4 linked regions of the Ovis aries genome follow. The protein of the gene in region 1 purifies or fractionates together with the protein of each later gene. This does not show direct contact. Links are inferred from orthologs where the notes say so. Each region holds a gene or a part of one and is shown in the gene's direction. Other genes may lie near its edges.

Region 1 (4,097 bases):
GACCTGAGGGGAGTTTGCAAGCATTCAGCAGATCCCATTCCTGAAGCATAAGTATTAGCAAAAGTTCTCTCCACCTTTGGCCTCTCCAGGTAGCAGAGAACCTTGGGCTACTGACGGTGCGCCACAGTGAGAATGAGGATGGTGCCTTCACTGAATGTAACAACATGACCCTCATCAACTTGCTACTTAAAGTCTTTGGGCCCATGCATGAGAGAAACCTCACCCTCTTCCTGCTGCTGCTACAGGTGCAATGCTATTGGGGGTGTGGTTTACACTTCCTTGTCTCCCTCTCTCCAGGGTTCTTACTATAGTTCGTTTCTCCTTGCAGGTCGTTGGTAGTGCTGTCACCTTCTCCATTCGGTACCAGCTTGTCCGACTCTTCTATGATGTCTGAGGCCCCGATCCATTGCCCTTTGCTTCACAGCCTCCGGGGTTACTGACTCAGGCCAACATCTCCTGGACCAAGACTGCCAACTAGCCCAGGCCTCTCCCACCCTTCATTTTCCTCCAGATTTTGTTCTCAGCATTTCCTTTCCCCTGTGATTATTGACACGTGGGCCTGTCTCACTCTCTAATGACTGGTGATTGGACTTTGCCTATGGCTTTCTTCAGCTTGCCACTCTCCCTCTCCATCCCATCTTTGCTGCCTCCTAAGTTGGGGTACTGTAGCTTTTATGCAATTGCCCACAACTCTGACACTCAAGGAGAATGCTGGACTTGGGGACAGAACCCTGGCTGGGGATAGAGACACAGGTTCAAAGGTGACTTGACATTTGACTATAAATTAAGTATTCTGATGATTAAGAGCAGACCGGGGGCCAGGTGCTCCCAGTGGTGACAATAAAGTATTGTCTTTTTCTTCTTGTTCCTATAGGTATATTTCCTATGTGGGCATTGTAGGGTGGATGGGGAAGGTTGAAGGAGGTATTTCCTCGGAGAGGATGCCTATCTCTGTCCCATCCTTTTTTCTTTCTTTCTTTTTTTTTAAGCACATCAGGCGCCTCCTAGCAAGAAGTGATCAGAAAGAACAGACCAGACAGAACATGTTGAATAAATGTGAAATCTGCTGCTTGGGTGGCATAAAGGGCCATAAGATTGGGGTTATCTGTTCTCTGGGGTAGGGTTGGACTTTAAGTGGGGGTCTCATTCCTTCCCTTTTTCACTCTTCTTTTGCCAGGTAGGAGGAGGGAGTGACCAGACCTAGGACGGGAGGCAGAGGTAGTTGTGGTGTTGACTCTTTTCCTTTAAAAATCTTAGGCCTGCCTTGCGCAGACTTCCCAGACGCTCTTGAGGTGGCTTCCGATTCTACCCTTCTTGTCTTCCGGTTCTGGTCTCGGGCTATAGCGTTTAAATCTGGCGCGCTTCACTTGGATTGGCTACAGCCGAGACTGGCTGGCTGTCGGGTAGTCTCTGCGCCTCCTCCCGTGTTCCCCGGGCAAAGGGTTTTCAAATTCGGCCAATCGGCGGACGCGTTCCCTCAACTGGGGCGCGTCACCGAAGAGTTAACCTCAGCCAACCAGAGGCGGGTATTCGAGAAAAGAGCCAATCAGAAAGGCGCGGGGGTGTGCCCTGAGGGGCTTATAAGGGCAGCCCGTGGTCGCGCGCGGAAGCGTTAGACTGCGGCGGGTGGTTGTTCCTGTGTTTTGTTAGCCGTCCTCACCGCTCCTCTACCTCATACAGCATGTCTGGCCGCGGCAAGACCGGCGGCAAGGCCCGCGCCAAGGCCAAGTCGCGCTCTTCGCGAGCAGGCCTCCAGTTTCCCGTGGGCCGCGTGCACCGGCTGCTGCGGAAGGGCCACTACGCCGAGAGGGTGGGCGCCGGCGCGCCGGTCTACCTGGCGGCGGTACTCGAGTACCTCACCGCCGAGATCCTGGAGCTGGCGGGCAACGCGGCTCGCGACAACAAGAAGACGCGGATAATCCCCCGCCACCTGCAGCTGGCCATCCGCAACGACGAGGAGCTCAACAAGCTGCTGGGCGGCGTGACGATCGCCCAGGGAGGCGTCCTGCCCAACATCCAGGCCGTGCTGCTGCCTAAGAAGACCAGCGCCACCGTGGGGCCGAAGGCGCCAGCGGGCGGCAAGAAGGCCACCCAGGCCTCTCAGGAGTACTGAGGGCGCCCGTGCCGCCACCGCCCAGCCCTCCCCTCTACACCACAAAGGCCCTTTTAAGGGCCACCACAGCACTCACAGAAAGAGCTGGGCCACTTCGGGCTCCCGGCCTGGCGGCCGCGCTGTCGCCCCTTCCCGGCCCGCCCCTCCCCCCCGCGGCTGGCTCCCGCCGAAGCCCGGCGGAGGGCGTGCGTTCGAACGCCGCTCGGCCCCGGGAGCGAGCTCGTGACTCGGCCGGCTTGGCCCCAGAATGCCGATGGGCTGCGGGGAGGCCGCGGCACCTTCCGGAAAGCCGGGCCGGGGAGTGCGGGAGGAAGGTGAGTCGGTGCGGACGGTCGCCGCCGAGGCCGTGCGCTCTGCTTCAGCTCGGTGCTTAGTACAGGACTCGATTGTCGCCGCCGGCGGAGTCAATCGGTTGCTTCATTTCGTCCCAGGACCCCTTTTGTTGCCGGATCTCGGGCCTCGCACGTCCGCGTTCCCTCCATCTTCATTCGCAGGCCTGTGCGCGTACTGGAAGAAACCCTTCGCGGCGTGACCGTCTCCAATACTAGCGGGTCCTGGCGGCGTGGGGTCTGCGGGAGCCCTGCCTCCGGGCCCGCCCCTCCTCCCCACTCCCTTCCCGTCGGGTCCATTCCGCCTGCCAAGCACCTAGATACCAGCACAAGTCCGTTAATCCCCGTCTGGACTGAGCCGCCTTTGGCTTCGGAACTGGAATTTTGCAGCTAACCCATCCAAAACTAGTACTTTAGGTATTGGGGGGAGTTTCAGATGGACTAATTTTATTAAAGGGTTTTTTCCTAAAGAAAAGTGAGTTGTGTTCATTTTGCAAAAGGGTTGTAGAGTCGACTCTGTAGATACCTAAAGGTAGTGGGGGAGGGGAACCGATATAAGGCTTTACTGTTAACTGGAGCGACAAATTGTAGATTATTAAGATGATGGCTTTCTTGGCGTTCCCTGGGAGACACTCGATTCTGTCAAAAAATGGGAACTACTGACAGAAGGCGTTTTTCAGGAGAACTTTGAAAGGGTCCTAGCCTCAGAGATCAGGCATAAATAAAGAGTTTTGAGTTTGTCCTTCCTTTTCTGCAGCTCCACCAAAAACAAAAACCACCTTTAAATTTGGTTTATTAGTAGAACTGGTTACATTCAAAGGCTGTGGCTTCTTATTAAGATTTTTTTTTTCTCTAGAGAGGAAGCCCCCTCCTTGCCTCCTGGGGAGGCAAGGCCCCTCGGTGAGACAAGTCTCTGGAAGTCTCTGCCCCTGCAGTTCAATCCTGTGGGGGTAGCCACTCCTCAGGTAGCAGAGGGCTGGGATGTAGGCACTGGACACCAGCAAGGCAGGCACCTGTGCCCCACAGACCAATTAGTGGGCTTCATTGAGCTGCCGTGCAACATCCAAGATATTCTTGGCTCCTTTGTTCAGCAACAACGTGGCCAGGCTGATGCCCAGGTTCTCAGCAGCCAGCTGGGGTTGTCGTGGAATGTTCCGGGCAGTGATGCCCACCAGCTGTGGATCATCTTCAGGGCCATCTTCATGCTGGGCAAAGGAAGAAGGGTTGGATTTAGTGAGAAGGAGAGGGGAGGTAACAAAGATGTGTTTCCTCCCCCCTGCAGCCTTGGCACCTGGACAGGGACATGGATGGTGGTTTGCATGGTGTCTTGCATGGTCTCTGCGCCATTCAGACTCCAGACTCCTCCAGTCAGGTACAGCTGGGAAAGAAAATGGCTGCCTCAGTAAACTGTAAGAGAACTGCTTAGAAACCTGTGCTCTTCATGCTGGTGGATACACAGGGGAAACGCCAGAGTTCCTTCCCTGCCCTCCCATCCATCTCCCCCTGCTTACTTGCCCATCCTTAATAGCTGTATGCACTGCCACTGGCACACTGCAGCCTCCTTCCTGCAACAAGTTCTCCCTGTTAGCTTAAGACCCTTATCACCACCCTGTAACCAGAGCCCACAGAGACAGACAGACCCCTGCCAAGGATAT
Region 2 (5,128 bases), on another chromosome or scaffold:
GTGTAGTGAAAAGTGGATTTTATATGACAGCTGACGAGGACCAGCTCAGTGTTGGACAGAGAAGAAGCTCCAAAACACTTCCCCAGAGCTAAAATTGCACCCAAACGGTGTTTGGTGGTCTGTTGCCCATCTGATCCGCTACAGCTTTCTGAATCCCAACGAAACTGTTACATCTGAGAAGTATGCTCATCAAATCAACACAATGCACCAAAAACTGCAATGCCTGCAGTCACCATAGTTCAACAGGGCCCAATTCTCCACGACAATGCCTGACCGCACATCGAACAACCAACCCTTCAAAAGCTGAACAAATTGGGCTATAAAGTTTTGCCTCATACACATATTCACCTAACCTCTCGCCAACCAACAGCCACTTTTTTAAGCATCTCATTAACTTTTTGCAGGGAAAATGCTTTCATAACCAGCAGGAGGCACAAAATGCTTTCCAAGAGTTCTACTACTGAAGCATGAATTGTTATGCTACAGAATAAACAAATGTATTTGTCATTGGCAAAAATGTGTTGATTGTGATGGTTCATATTTTGATTAATAAAGGTGTGTTTGAGCCTATTTATAATCATTTAAAATTCACAGTCTGAAACCACAATTACTTTTTCACCAACCTAAAATCCTTTCAGCTTCTCATGAGCCTCCTGATGTAGGAAATTCAAGAGATGTAAGCAAAGGGTCCCCAAGGAATACTTCATCCTCCACTGACCCTGAAATGGTAGCCCGCCAAGGAAGGGGGGCTTCCTTCCCCAAGGAAGCCTGAAGACTTATCCAGCGTTGATGTTCAGTCAGTGGGACCAGCTGGGCCAGAAACTGCAAGAGAAGGATGGGCCAGAGGAAGAAGAGGACTTTGACGACCTTACCCAGGATCAGGAAGACGAAGTGTCATCAGCTTCTGAGGAATCTGTCCTCTGTCCCGGAACTCCAGGTGAGAGCTGGGCAATATTCTTCAATATTTTGTGGATTCAGTAATAGATTTAATTTATTGATAGGCTACCTGCTTGCTTTTTACAGTAGAGATAGTCCTAAAATCATTTTTGTCTTTTGTGAGAGGAGAGGGAAAGAGTTAAATGTTCCTTATTATATTTGACTTAAACTCATTTACATTAAATTGAATCACCTGAGCACAATGTAAATAACCACAAAATAGAAAAAGGATGATAAGCATGGACTCTGGCAAAGGACAGTTATCTTCAGGGAGATGTTTCAAAACACATCTGCTCAGGAATTCCCTGATGGTCCAGTGATTAGGGCTTGCCACTTTCCTTTCACTGCTGGAGCCTGGCTTCAGTCCCTGATCAGGGAACTTACATCTCTTAAGCTGCACAGCATGGCCAAGAAAATGAAAAGGAGAAAAAAAAAACAAACAAAAACCTCCAAAATCCCCGGAAAAAAACCCATTGGCTTCCAACCTCTGTCATCAATTAATTAACCTCAGTCCCTTCTGAAAAACTCTGTAAGTAGCCCATGGTGAGCCATTGTATCCCTCATGCATACTGTTTGGGGGTTTTTAAGGAAACAATGGAGAAACAGACTTGGTTCACATCTGAAAAGTACATGAGTTAGGAGGGTGAGTCTGAGGAATAGAACTCCCAGAAGAGAACTCAGCCTGAGAAAGGAGAAGCAGGAAGAAGCAGAAAGAATGGAAATCCTGCAGAAAGAGGATGAAAAAATAGACGAAGCCATTGGAGACCCTGCCGAGAAGCCATCTGTTACCTGTGCCTCCCCGAAGGCCTCTCCAGAAGTGAAGACCATCAAGGGTGAGTAGGACAGGCCTGAGTGGAGATAGGTCTCAGGTGGCCTCATTGACACAGGGACATGTGCAGAGTGACAGGCTTATAAAACAGGTGCCAGTTTCCAGAAGAAATCCTTTGGATCCCGCCTGCCAGTCACCCTACTCCCAAATAGATGTTTAACCTGCTGCCACTGCAGAGAAGAGATGCTCAGAAATTAAAAATTTGTCTCTCATCAGCTGCTAGATTTGTACTCTGTTCATGCAGGGTTTTATACTGGTTCTTAATTCATCAGTCATGTATGAGGCCAAGAGCAATGTTTATTTCAGAAAGTACTGCTTGTTCCTCACCAGGACATAGTTCTTTGAGAGCCAGCATCAGACCACACTTAGACTTCTGTGTTCAACATGCAGTAGCTAAGCATCTCATTATCCCAGTTAATGCAGTCATGCCGTCAACACTCCACAGAGCTGACTTGGCGGGGACAGACATTACCTGTCATAGCATTTTTCCAGCAGCTTTTCTCCCAAGTTCCTATGTAATTTTGAATAGGATTTGAATGGAGTTGGGGTGCCTGTGGTGGGTTGGGGAGAGCAGAGGCTGCAGGTACAGAAAAACAGTTGTATGCTAAGGAGAGAGCATCAGAGCTGCTGGAAAGGGCTGGAGTAATCATCGAGCTCTCAGCAAGCAGGGCAGTTGGGCCCGGGCCAACAAGGACACCTCCAGGCTGCTGTTGCTGTATGATGAAGGCATCCTCAAGTGAGATCCTCTCCAGGAACGGAAGGATTTGGCCTTTGCTCAGGTGTATCTGACCAGGGCAGGCAAATGCTGCTTTCTGTTCCTGCCAACCCCTCTGAACAAGACTGCTTTTCCTTCAGGGGAGATGTTTTTAAAATGAAGTCTGCCTTTTAGACTGCACAACAGCCTTCTATGCTTCTGCCTTTGTTTTCCTAGAAATATCAAGAGCTGTGTGAGTGAACCACAAGGACGCCAAGTTTAGTCATCAACAGATTTATTGTTACTGCCCAGGGATACCACCCCTCTGTTGCCACAAAACTGAGGAAAGGTGATAGCCACCATCATCAGTGTGAGGGTAGGCTAATAAAGACTTTAACTGAGCCCTTGGCTTGAGAAAATAGACATTTGGTACATTGACCAGAAAGTGGACCTCAGTGATCTTCAGAGTCATGAACCAACCTGTTTGTGGCAGCGGTCCCTATCTCATTCTTTTCGTAACCACCTGGTTCCTTTATACTCCCAGCAAAGTGGAGTCCTAGCAGTGATAGTCATGGTTTTTCTTGTCTCCTGATATTTTACTGACATTCCTAATTTACGTATTATTTACCCTCAGATGATACCATGCTGAAATATATATACCAAGCACTCCTTATCTATTTCAACATGGAGGTGAAACCAGGAAGGGGAGGCCCAGGCTGTGAGCTAGAGAAAAGTTCACCTGATTTTGTGGGTAGCACTGTGGTCCCTGGAAAATATAAATTTTCCCTTTCCTCACTGTCAGAAAAAGAGCTCTGCCTTGCTCATGGCCCTGTGGCTTCCATTAATCATCAGATCTTAGGACCTGTCAGAGGAGTAGCCTCTGACGGATAATCTGGAGCTCTTTAACAGTAACTCCTCCTTCCTCGGTCCCATTGTTTCTTGTCAGGGCCCAAAGAAGGGATTGGATGATTGAAAATCCTCTCATACAGGTCCGAGAAGCCCTGCAGCATATCCCTGGCAAGTATGAAGACTTCTTCAGGTCATCCATGAGTTTGAGTCAAGCACTCAGGCAGACAGCTGTGGATCTCTACAAGAGCCTGCAAATTCTGCTCCAGGACTGGCCTCAGCTGTTGAAGGACTTTGCTGCTTTCTTGTTGCCTGAGCAAGCACTGGCCTGTGGATTAGTAAGTAGAGACGGGGGGCAAAGACCACACACTAGGATCCCTGGGTCAGAGCAAGACTAGGCTTGGGTAGTGTTGATTAGGCCTGTTCCAGACTCCTGGCTGTTTCCATAGATAGCTTTCCCCTAGACCAGGGTCACGAGAGCCACCTCCTTTGCAAAAGATGGTCTCCCCAACTCCTGTTCTCTCCATGTAGAGCGAAGGGTTTGACCATTGTTGCCAGTGGAGCCCTTAGGTACATCATAGCCCTTTGCTCCTCACTGATGCAAAATAGGCTTTCGTTCAACAAATGTTTATTGAGTACCTGCTGTTTCAGGCAGAGTTCTAGGTATTGGAATGTAGTAATTATAAAAGACTAAAATCCTTGCCTTCCTGGAGCTTATATTCTCATGGGGAAAGTCAAGTAATAAGTAGTATATTGTATATTGAAAAATATATATATTATAAAAATGATAAAATATATAAACAGTAAAAATATATCATGCTTTATAGTAATTATGTTGCAGTTTTATACACAGTGGTCTGGGAAGGCCACTATGGTTAGGTAACATTTGAAATGTTTGAGAATAAGTGTTTGAACTTGAAGCATATCCCAGTAGTTCTGATTTTCTTGTCATGATGGGTAAACACAGGAATAAAGGATATGATATTAAACTGATAGTCTTTAAATAGTTAAATGGTGATCAGATGATTATACATAATTTTCTGTATTATGAGCATCAAATGAGTATATATGTGAGAATTCTCTATAGACTGTGAAATGTGTCTGATTACACAGTTCTGGAAACAGTAAGCAACTTGAGATATGTAACTCTGGAATCTTTTATTTCCATCTTAGTTTTCTTGTGTTCACAGACCCCAGAAACCCAAGGTGGATAGATGCTAGGGTCTTAAGAAAGATCTCACAAGGAATTCTCCGGTGGTCCAGTTGTTAGGACTTGACACTTTCACTTCTGGGTCCCAGGTTTGATTCCTGCTTGGGGAACTAAGATAACACAAGCTGCATGGTGAGGCCAGAAAGTAAAGATTTCACCTTTGTAAACCAGAGCCTATAACCGGGAAAGGTTAATTTTGGCTTCATGCTTGATCTATGACTTTAACCCTTGTTTTTGCTACTTTTGTTGTTATAAGCATATATAATGGTCTGCCTCAGAGAACCGTGTCCCATCTGCCTGACTCTTAAATTAAAATGCCCTTTGTTTAGCTCACAGAGATATAATCTGATCCTGCCCACCTGTGAATGACTGTAAGAAAAAAGGAGCTAATGCATCGCCCTGCCTGAGGCTTACCATTCTAGGAGATACTGGCAAGAATTAAATGGTCTTCTTGCTTTGTTTCTTCATCTCACTCATGTCTGATTCATGGAAGAACCTGGCAGCATACCCTGACAAGGTGCTTGTTTTGAGATTATTAGTCTGCCATCTTCTTGGTCAGCTGACTTTCCAAATAAAGTCGTAGCCTTTGCCTGAACACCCCGTCCCTTGGATT
Region 3 (3,425 bases), on another chromosome or scaffold:
CGTTGCCTTCCTGTTGCTCAGCCTGATCCCTTCTCTCCATTCCTCCAATATTGGCAAGGTTCTTGGTTCTGAAGTGAGCTTCTTTCTTTCCTCATGTGACACAGAGCTATCTCTTCTCAGTATCTTGCTGCATTTCTAGTGATAATAGCTCTTTATTTAGTTTCCTCTCTATTACAGATTTTCTCTCCCTAGGAATTGAGCATGAGTTTCTGAGGGCTGCATGGGAAGGCAATCAAGTGCTCTGTCTCCTGCTGTATCCAGATTTGTCCTCCTTCTCAGACCTCAGCCGTGGGTTCTCCCATCCCCTCCCCTGGGCAGAACACTTTCCCCACCAAGTACATTGCCTGTCAGAGGATAAAGGAATACTTTCTGCTCCCCAGTGGGGTCAGGGCCTCAGGCCCAGGGGCTGGCTGTCAACATCTCCCACTATTCTTCCCAAGATGTTCCTTCAGTCCTCTTAAAGCTGTGCTCTGGTGAGCCCATCTACAGGCCACCCTGACGTGTTGAGACCTGTCTGAGTTCTCAACTTCTCAACTTGAGCTAATGCTCTGGGACCCTCACTCCACTGGTTTAGAAATTACTGGACTTGATTACAATCTCACATCACTAAATCTCCATTGAGTTTAGTTTTCAAATTCATTTGTGTACCAAACTACAATTTAATCAGGAAACTGGTTTAATACCCTTGTGAAAACATGATTAGTTTCTTTGGAATCTTGCCTAACCGAGTAGACGTTTTCTGTTTTTATTTCATGACCACTTTTTCCTGTTGCCCTTTACAGTGAAAAGTGGGTGACAAAGCAGGCAATAAGAAGAGAAATAATTAAAAAAAATTTTTATCTAGAAATTTCATTGTTCTTAAACAAATCTCTTTAGAAATTTTCCCTACAGTTTTTATGTACTATGATAAAATGTAGCAGCTATGGCAAAGCTTCAGCAGGTATGGTAAAAACTGTTATTAACAAGCCAAGTGATACAAAGAGATCAGAAAAGCTGTTAGGTGAGTGCCAACCTCACGTGAGCGAAATTTCTTTTTTAACCCTATTTATACATCTATTCATGCAATCATTTAGTTTTCAGATTATACCAGATACTGTTCTGGGTATCAAGGCTGTGAATGATCAAGATGTGGTGTGTGCCCCGGAGGGATATATAATCTAAAAAAAAGACAACGATGTGTCAGGTCTTACAGAGATGGTTGATGCCCAGGTCATATTCCTTTGGCCACCTCTGACTTGAGCTGTGGTAGACAGTAACCAAGCATGTTAAAGGCTCCTCACCACTGTCTCAGTTTTAAAGCTACTTGAATGCATATGGTGTGTGTGTGTGTGTGTGTGTGTGTTGAATGCCCCACAGAAAATCCCAACCAATTCCCACTGGAATTCAGCCCCAGTTACCCACAGTTGTAAACTGCATAATGATTCTTCCTTTACTGCCTTCCCTGGTGGCTCAGAGGTTAAAGCATCTGCCTCCAATGCGGGAGACCTGGGTTTGATCCCTGGGTTGGGAAGATCCCCTGGAGAAGGAAATGGCAATCCACTCCAGTATTCTTGCCTGGAGAATCCCATGGACGGAGAAGCCTAGTAGGTTACAGTCCACAGGGTCGCAAAGAGTCGGACACGACTGAGCGACTTCACCTCACCTCACCTGACTTTCTCTCTTTGTCTGTCTCATTGTTCCTCTCTCTCACTCTGGCTTCCTGGGAATACCAACAGGCTACATGTACTCACAGATTCCGATTTTGATAGAACCCGATTCTGGTAGTACCAGTACAAAGTAATATTTTTGTTGCTGTCCAGTTGCTAAGTCATGTGTGATTCTTTGAGATCCCATGGACTGCAGCATGCCAGGCTTCTCTGATCATCATCTCCTAGAGTTTGGTCAAACTCATGTCCATTGAGTCAGTAATATCGAGTTGGCCAAAAAGTTCATGGGGCCTTTCCAGCGCCGGCCCCGGACACAGCAACCGTCGCGATGTTGATGCCCAAGAAGAACAGGATTGCCATTTATGAACTCCTTTTTAAGGAGGGGGTGATGGTGGCCAAGAAGGATGTCCACATGCCCAAGCACCCGGAGCTGGCAGACGAGAATGTGCCCAATCTTCACATCATGAAAGCCATGCAGTCTCTCAAGTCACGAGGCTATGTGAAGGAACAGTTTGCCTGGAGACGTTTCTACTGGTACCTCACCAACGAGGGCATCCAGTATCTCCGTGATTACCTCCACCTGCCCCCTGAGATCGTGCCCGCCACCCTGCGCCGCAGCCGTCCTGAGACTGGCCGGCCACGGCCCAAAGGTCTGGAGGGAGAGCGACCTGCAAGACTCACGCGAGGGGAAGCCGACGGAGACACCTACAGACGAAGCGCCGTGCCCCCTGGTGCCGACAAGAAAGCCGAGGCCGGAGCTGGGTCAGCAACTGAATTCCAGTTTAGAGGCGGATTTGGTCGTGGACGTGGTCAGCCACCTCAGTAAAGTTGAAAGGGGTTGTTTTATGTTGAATAAACCTGTAAACAGAAAAAGTTAAAAAAAAAAAAAGTTCATGGGGTTTTTCTGTAGCATCTTAAAGCATCTAATATCTGTAGATGATGAAGATATACACAGAGTTCTCTTGTTTTGCAGAGGATGGGGTAATTAACACCCTGGGTAGGAGTTTCCAGGAGAGACTATTGCAGGAGCCAAGGAAAGGGAGAAATTAGAAATTGATAGTTAAAAGATAAGTGTTTCCAATGTCTTTAACTATAGCTCAGTATGAGATAGTTCTGGGATGATATAATAGAGGTACTTTGCATATCTCCTGTTATGTGCACGACTTTTACTTGTCTGAGCCTTTCTGGACTTTTTAGAGGAGTGAATGATGAGAAGTTGGAGCTAATACTCAGCTCTCAGACTAAGAAGATTTCAGAACTAAGAATAGGAAGAGTGCTATGCTTTGACCTTTGAAACCAACCCTGGATCAGAGAGGATACTTCAAGGTAGGAGAAGGTCTAGAGATAATAGTTGCGGTCATGGATAAAAGGACAGTTTGCTTGCAACACTGTGTGTGGTTTTCTACTGTTTTGTAACCAAGCTCCTCGGAGAATGTGCGCCAGGTTCCATGAGAGAAGGACTGTGAAAATTTAAAGAGAGGGTCAGAGGAAAAAGCCGTGATTTGTCAAATCATTGTAAAAAGAAAAAACAAAACTCTAAGATTAGGAGAGACTTCCTGGAAGGCCCATTCTCCAGGAAAACCCAGTGCTTTGACCAAGGCATCTGGAGAATATTAGAGGCCTGCGTTAATGGCAAGAACAACATTAACTGCTGTATTTTCTCAGCTCTAGAGCCTAAAACCATTCCAAGAGGCAGGCAGAGCATCAAAATTCCTGAGGCCGCAAACGGGAGAGGCCAACCATGGCAGGTGCCCCATCAATTGGGCAGATGAAGGAAGT
Region 4 (4,879 bases), on another chromosome or scaffold:
AGCCATTAAAATAGTGCTCTAGAATGTGAGAAATGTTCGATTTATGTTACTAAGTGAACAAGCTGGTCACAGAACAACAGACACATTAAGAATCTATTTTTGTATTTGATATGTGTTAGTTGCTCAGTCCTGCCTGAACTCTTCGAGATCCCATGGGGAACTCTTTGTGATCCCACAAGGCTCCTCTGTCCATGGATTTCTCCAGGCAAGAATGCTGGAGTGGGTTGCCATTTCCTCCTGCAAGGGATCTTCCCCACCCAGGGACTGAGCCTGTGTCTTCTGCATTGCAGCCAGATTCTTTCCACTTAGCTACCAGGGACACCCTGTTTGATAGCACAATAGAAGGTAAAGCATGGGTTGGCAAACATTTTTTGTAAATGGCCAGACAGTAAATGTTTTAGGCTTTGTGGGCATTCAGCTTTAACGTGGAAGATGTCATAGACAAAATGTCAGTGAATGAGATGGTGGCTATGTTTCAATAAAACATAATTTATGGACCCTGAAATTTGAATTTCAGAATTTCCATGTATCATGAAATATTCTATTTATGTCTCCCCAAGCTTTAAAAAGAGTGTGAAGACCATTCTTTGCCCACTGAGCAGGAAAGCTAGAATAGGGTTGGATTTGCCCTGCAGGCTAGTTTGCCTACCTGGTCATTCCCTGCACCTTGTGTATTTCGTTGTTGCTGTTTCCCAAAACACTTATCACTCTTTAATAGACTAGATAATTTATTTTTAAAATATATTTACTGTTTGTGATCCACACCCCTCTTTTCCCTCTCAGCCTCCAAGAATTCAAGCTCCAGGAGCTGCAAGTTATTTTATTCATTGATGTATCCCAGGCTCCTAGATAAAATGCCTGGGACACGGTAACAGATTATTAAACAGTTGTTGAATGTATTAATCAATTCTAAAAGAAATCATCTCTGACTATTCATGGGAAGGACTGACGGTGAACATGAAAACCCCGATACTTTGGCCACCTGATGCGAAGAAAAGACACTGATGCTGGGAAAGTCTGAGGGCAAGAAAAGGGGAGGGCAGAGGATGAAATGGTTGGAGAGCATCACTGACTCAATGGACATGAGTTTACGCAAACTCCGGGAGATAGGGAAAGACAGAGGAGCCTGGCAGTTCACGGGAGTCACAAACAGTCGACACGACTTAGACGTCTGAACAATAACAACTCGTATAATTAGCAACCTAACATACAAAACAAACCTATAAACCTTCTTCCGTGGACCCCCAACCCTAGGAAAGTCCACAACTTGCGGGGGTCCTGGTGCCCACTTTTCGAAATCCGCCCCTCAACCCCCCAGCCGAGCACACGCAGCTCACTCCCCGTGACGCAGCCTTGACGCCACTAGGAGACGGCCAAGCGGCCGCCCGCTAGGCACAAACACCAATCCCACGTGACCGGCGTCGCACCCGGTGAGCGTCACGTGACTGACTCAGTTTTCCTCCAATCGTTGCACACGTTGTGGGGATTCCATCCAGGACCTGACCTGAGCCTTAAAACACCCTATGCCCCTGCCAGCCAAACTGGCCGGCTCCGTCAGCAAGCTGGGCGGCGGTGTCTCTTAAGAACCTACTAGTAAAGCCGCTTCGGGGAAGACGGGGCCTACAACGTGCTCAGTCCCGGAAGTGACGGCTCCCAGAGGGGCCGGAAGTGGCAGTGGAGGGAGGGAAGATGGCGGAGGTGGTGAGTCCGGTGCCCGGGGCGGGGCGGAGGGAGCCAGGGGAGGTGGGTAGAGCCCGAGGCCCCCCAGTAGCCGACCCTGGCGCCGCGCTGTCTCCCCAGGGGGAGATAATCGAGGGCTGCCGCCTGCCTGTGCTGCGGCGGAACCAGGACAACGAAGATGAGTGGCGTGAGTGACGTCGGGGGGCGGGGCTAAGGAACCTGAGGGCGAGGGGCGGGGGGAGAGTCAACCGAACCCCGGGGAGGGGGTGGGGCCTCTAGAATCCTGGAGCGGGCGGGGCGCAGATACTCAGGAGGGGCGTGGCTTTTAGCCTTTAGAGCTGGTCAGGGCAGGGCTTGAAGAGGGGATGGCACTTGGTGACTAACCGGGGCTTTTGAGAGCGGTTCCAAGTGCTGGGGCTTTAGGGTTCGGGCCTGGTGGTGGAGTTCAGATCGTAGGAGGGTGGAGCTTCATGGCCTGGCCAGTCTAAGGCCCTTGCCTTTGCTGTTCCCACAGCACTCGCTGAGATTCTGAGCGTGAAGGACATCAGTGGCCGGAAGCTTTTCTACGTCCATTACATTGATTGTGAGTTCTGGGCCGGGATGAGGTGGGGCTGGAGGGTTGGGGGGCAGCCTCTGGCACTCCTTCCTGAGCCATACCCACTGCTGCAGTCAACAAACGCCTGGATGAATGGGTGACCCACGAGCGGCTGGACCTGAAGAAGATCCAGTTCCCCAAGAAAGAGGCCAAGACCCCCACTAAGAACGGACTTCCTGGGTCCCGACCCGGCTCTCCAGAGAGAGAGGTGGTGAGTAGGTCCCCTGCTTCACCTCTTCTCTCCTGCCTACTTTTAAAATCTCTTGGCCTCAGTGGCTCCCAGATGGGCGACAGGCTGTGCCCTCCCACCCTGGCTTCAGCTTGTAAAGGATGGGGCCCAGACTGCAGATGTAGCTTCCAGAGTCCAGTGACTGTACCTGTGTCCTTGAGAGGGCAGAGGGTGGGGTTTGATCACTCCATGCCGAGGGGACCCTACTCCCCTTCCCCATCCCACCACCATCCCAGCCCCAGAGGAAGACCCTGGACCTATCTCTACAGCCGGCCTCCGCCCAGGCCAGCGGGAAGACTTTGCCAATCCCGGTTCAGATCACACTCCGCTTCAACCTGCCCAAGGAGCGGGAGGCCATTCCCGGTGGCGAGCCCGACCAGCCGCTCTCCTCCAGCTCCTGCCTGCAGCCCAACCACCGCTCAACGGTACCCTCAGCAATTCCAGGGACCTTGCTTTCCTCTCAGGTCCCACCTTCTCTACCTTCTGACCCACCTGTCCTGGTTTCTCTCTGCAGAAACGGAAGGTGGAGGTGGTTTCACCAGCAACTCCAGTGCCCAGCGAGACAGCCCCGGCCTCAGTTTTCCCCCAGGTGAGTCCCCCAAGCCATCTCTTCTGCCCTCCTACCCTCTGATAGCCCCTTTGGGCTCACCTCACAGCCACTCTTTCTGTCCCTCCACTATCATTTGCAGAATGGATCAGCCCGGAGGGCAGTGGCAGCTCAGCCCGGGCGGAAGCGGAAATCAAATTGTTTGGGCACTGATGAGGTAGGTCTGGGGAGGAGGGAAGGGTGAAACGAAGGGGACATAAGGAGGGCACGGGGTTTAGTGACTACTTTAAAAATGAACAAGGGGTACTGGGCAGAAAGGGTGTTGGAATTAGGGGTGAGGCGGAACTGATTCAGATCCTGCACTAGGTGATCTTTATCACCTTCCAGGTGAAAATCATCCAAGTCTTGGTTTCTTCAGTTGGCAAGTGGGGATTGCAGTACCTCCCCTAGGAGGGTTGCTGTTAGGAAACCTGTGGAAGGGCTGTGAGCTGTGGAGTGTGCTGCTTGCGTTGTCTTCTGTAACCTGGTATCTTTCACGGGCCCTGGGAAGGACTCCCAGGACAGCTCAGATGGAATCCCGTCCGCTCCTCGCATGACTGGGAGCCTGGTATCTGACCGGAGCCACGACGACATCGTCACCCGGATGAAGAACATCGAGTGCATCGAGCTGGGCCGGCACCGCCTCAAGCCCTGGTACTTCTCCCCGTACCCTCAGGAGCTCACCGCGCTGCCCGTCCTCTACCTCTGCGAGTTCTGCCTCAAGTATGGCCGAAGCCTCAAGTGTCTGCAGCGTCACTTGGTATGGGGAGTCCCAGGGGCCACCCTCCTAGCAGCACCCCCTCACCTCCGCCCCTGTGCCTGATCCTCCTCTCTTCCTCAGACCAAGTGTGACCTGCGACATCCTCCTGGCAATGAGATCTACCGCAAGGGCACCATCTCCTTCTTTGAGATCGACGGACGTAAGAACAAGGTCAGGGGCTGAAGGGCAGCGGGAAGGCTTTGGTGCCGGGAGTCTGGGGGAGTTGAGTGAGTAGCTTCTTCCAGCTCCGGAAGACACTGACAGTTACAGGGGACAGATCTCTTCACCGCATTTACTGCATTCTTGCTGTAGGCCGGGTGCTGGTAGATAAAAGTGACCAGGAATTTGACAAAATCTCTGTTCTCTGAGAGCTCACAGGGGAAGACAAACAGGCCAGTAGCAGTTTGGATCCCAGTGTGATATGTTTCATGAGAAAAGTGGGCTGTCAGGATCCCAGGGTGATCAGCAAGGCTTCAAAGAGGAGGTAACCTCTGAACCTTGACACAAGGGTAGGGTGGGTACAGGAATCCCCAGCAGCGGGTTCTGAAGGGCAGGAGTGGACGTACTGGCAGAGCCCAGAGATCCTGCAGGTTCAGTTCTAGACCACTGTGACAAGGTGAGCGTTGAAATAAAGCAGTCACGAGAGTTTTTCTGGTTTCCCAAACTCTATAAAAGTTATATTTATGTTGTGCCATAGTCTATTAAGGGTGCAATAACAGTATCTCAAAAAAATTACAGTGGTAACATCAAAAACCACTGATTACTGTAACAAATACAATAATAATGAATAGGTTTGGAATATTATTGCAAGAATTATGAAAAGGTGACGAGATGTGACATGAGCAAATGCTGTTGGGAAAATGGCACTGATAAACTTAAGGCAGGGTTGCCACAAACCTTTGTTTAAAAAAAAAGCAATCTCTGTGAAAGCTAATAAAATGAGGTGTGCCTGTGCAGACAGTGAGCATCAAAGAGCTGTCCTTCCAGCTGGAGCGCAGACAGGATGAAGGAAGGCTCTGTTACAAGGAG

What was found. The genes of interacting proteins can lie anywhere in the genome.
Region 2: the proteins of histone H2AX (region 1) and GON4L purify together in Homo sapiens (affinity purification with mass spectrometry; 3 studies listed by BioGRID and IntAct, counting the BioPlex papers as one, with this or other methods). This does not show direct contact. The link is inferred for Ovis aries from reciprocal best matches to the Homo sapiens genes H2AX and GON4L.
Region 3: the proteins of histone H2AX (region 1) and small ribosomal subunit protein eS10-like purify together in Homo sapiens (co-immunoprecipitation; 3 studies listed by BioGRID and IntAct, counting the BioPlex papers as one, with this or other methods). This does not show direct contact. The link is inferred for Ovis aries from reciprocal best matches to the Homo sapiens genes H2AX and RPS10.
Region 4: the proteins of histone H2AX (region 1) and KAT5 purify together in Homo sapiens (affinity purification with western blotting; 3 studies listed by BioGRID and IntAct, with this or other methods). This does not show direct contact. The link is inferred for Ovis aries from reciprocal best matches to the Homo sapiens genes H2AX and KAT5.

Annotation. Positions count from the first base shown.
Region 1 is NC_056068.1:29,402,149-29,406,245, reverse strand, and holds histone H2AX, read left to right. Parts: upstream 1-1,608; 5' UTR 1,609-1,681; coding exon 1,682-2,113; 3' UTR 2,114-2,917; downstream 2,918-4,097. Other genes in the region: DPAGT1 (UDP-N-acetylglucosamine--dolichyl-phosphate N-acetylglucosaminephosphotransferase), read left to right, coding at 90-245, 329-394; HMBS (porphobilinogen deaminase), read right to left, coding at 3,530-3,820, 3,954-4,007. UniProt on the Homo sapiens protein: Variant histone H2A which replaces conventional H2A in a subset of nucleosomes. Nucleosomes wrap and compact DNA into chromatin, limiting DNA accessibility to the cellular machineries which require DNA as a template.
Region 2 is NC_056054.1:105,864,077-105,869,204, reverse strand, and holds the start of GON4L (GON-4-like protein), read left to right. Parts: upstream 1-1,922; 5' UTR 1,923-5,128. UniProt on the Homo sapiens protein: Has transcriptional repressor activity, probably as part of a complex with YY1, SIN3A and HDAC1. Required for B cell lymphopoiesis.
Region 3 is NC_056060.1:9,438,792-9,442,216, forward strand, and holds small ribosomal subunit protein eS10-like, read left to right. Parts: upstream 1-1,934; 5' UTR 1,935-1,974; coding exon 1,975-2,472; 3' UTR 2,473-2,519; downstream 2,520-3,425. UniProt on the Homo sapiens protein: Component of the 40S ribosomal subunit. The ribosome is a large ribonucleoprotein complex responsible for the synthesis of proteins in the cell.
Region 4 is NC_056074.1:40,317,677-40,322,555, forward strand, and holds the start of KAT5 (histone acetyltransferase KAT5), read left to right. Parts: upstream 1-1,673; 5' UTR 1,674-1,689; coding exon 1,690-1,867; intron 1,868-2,194; coding exon 2,195-2,263; intron 2,264-2,349; coding exon 2,350-2,486; intron 2,487-2,773; coding exon 2,774-2,929; intron 2,930-3,018; coding exon 3,019-3,093; intron 3,094-3,193; coding exon 3,194-3,268; intron 3,269-3,601; coding exon 3,602-3,850; intron 3,851-3,931; coding exon 3,932-4,021; intron 4,022-4,879. UniProt on the Homo sapiens protein: Catalytic subunit of the NuA4 histone acetyltransferase complex, a multiprotein complex involved in transcriptional activation of select genes principally by acetylation of nucleosomal histones H2A and H4.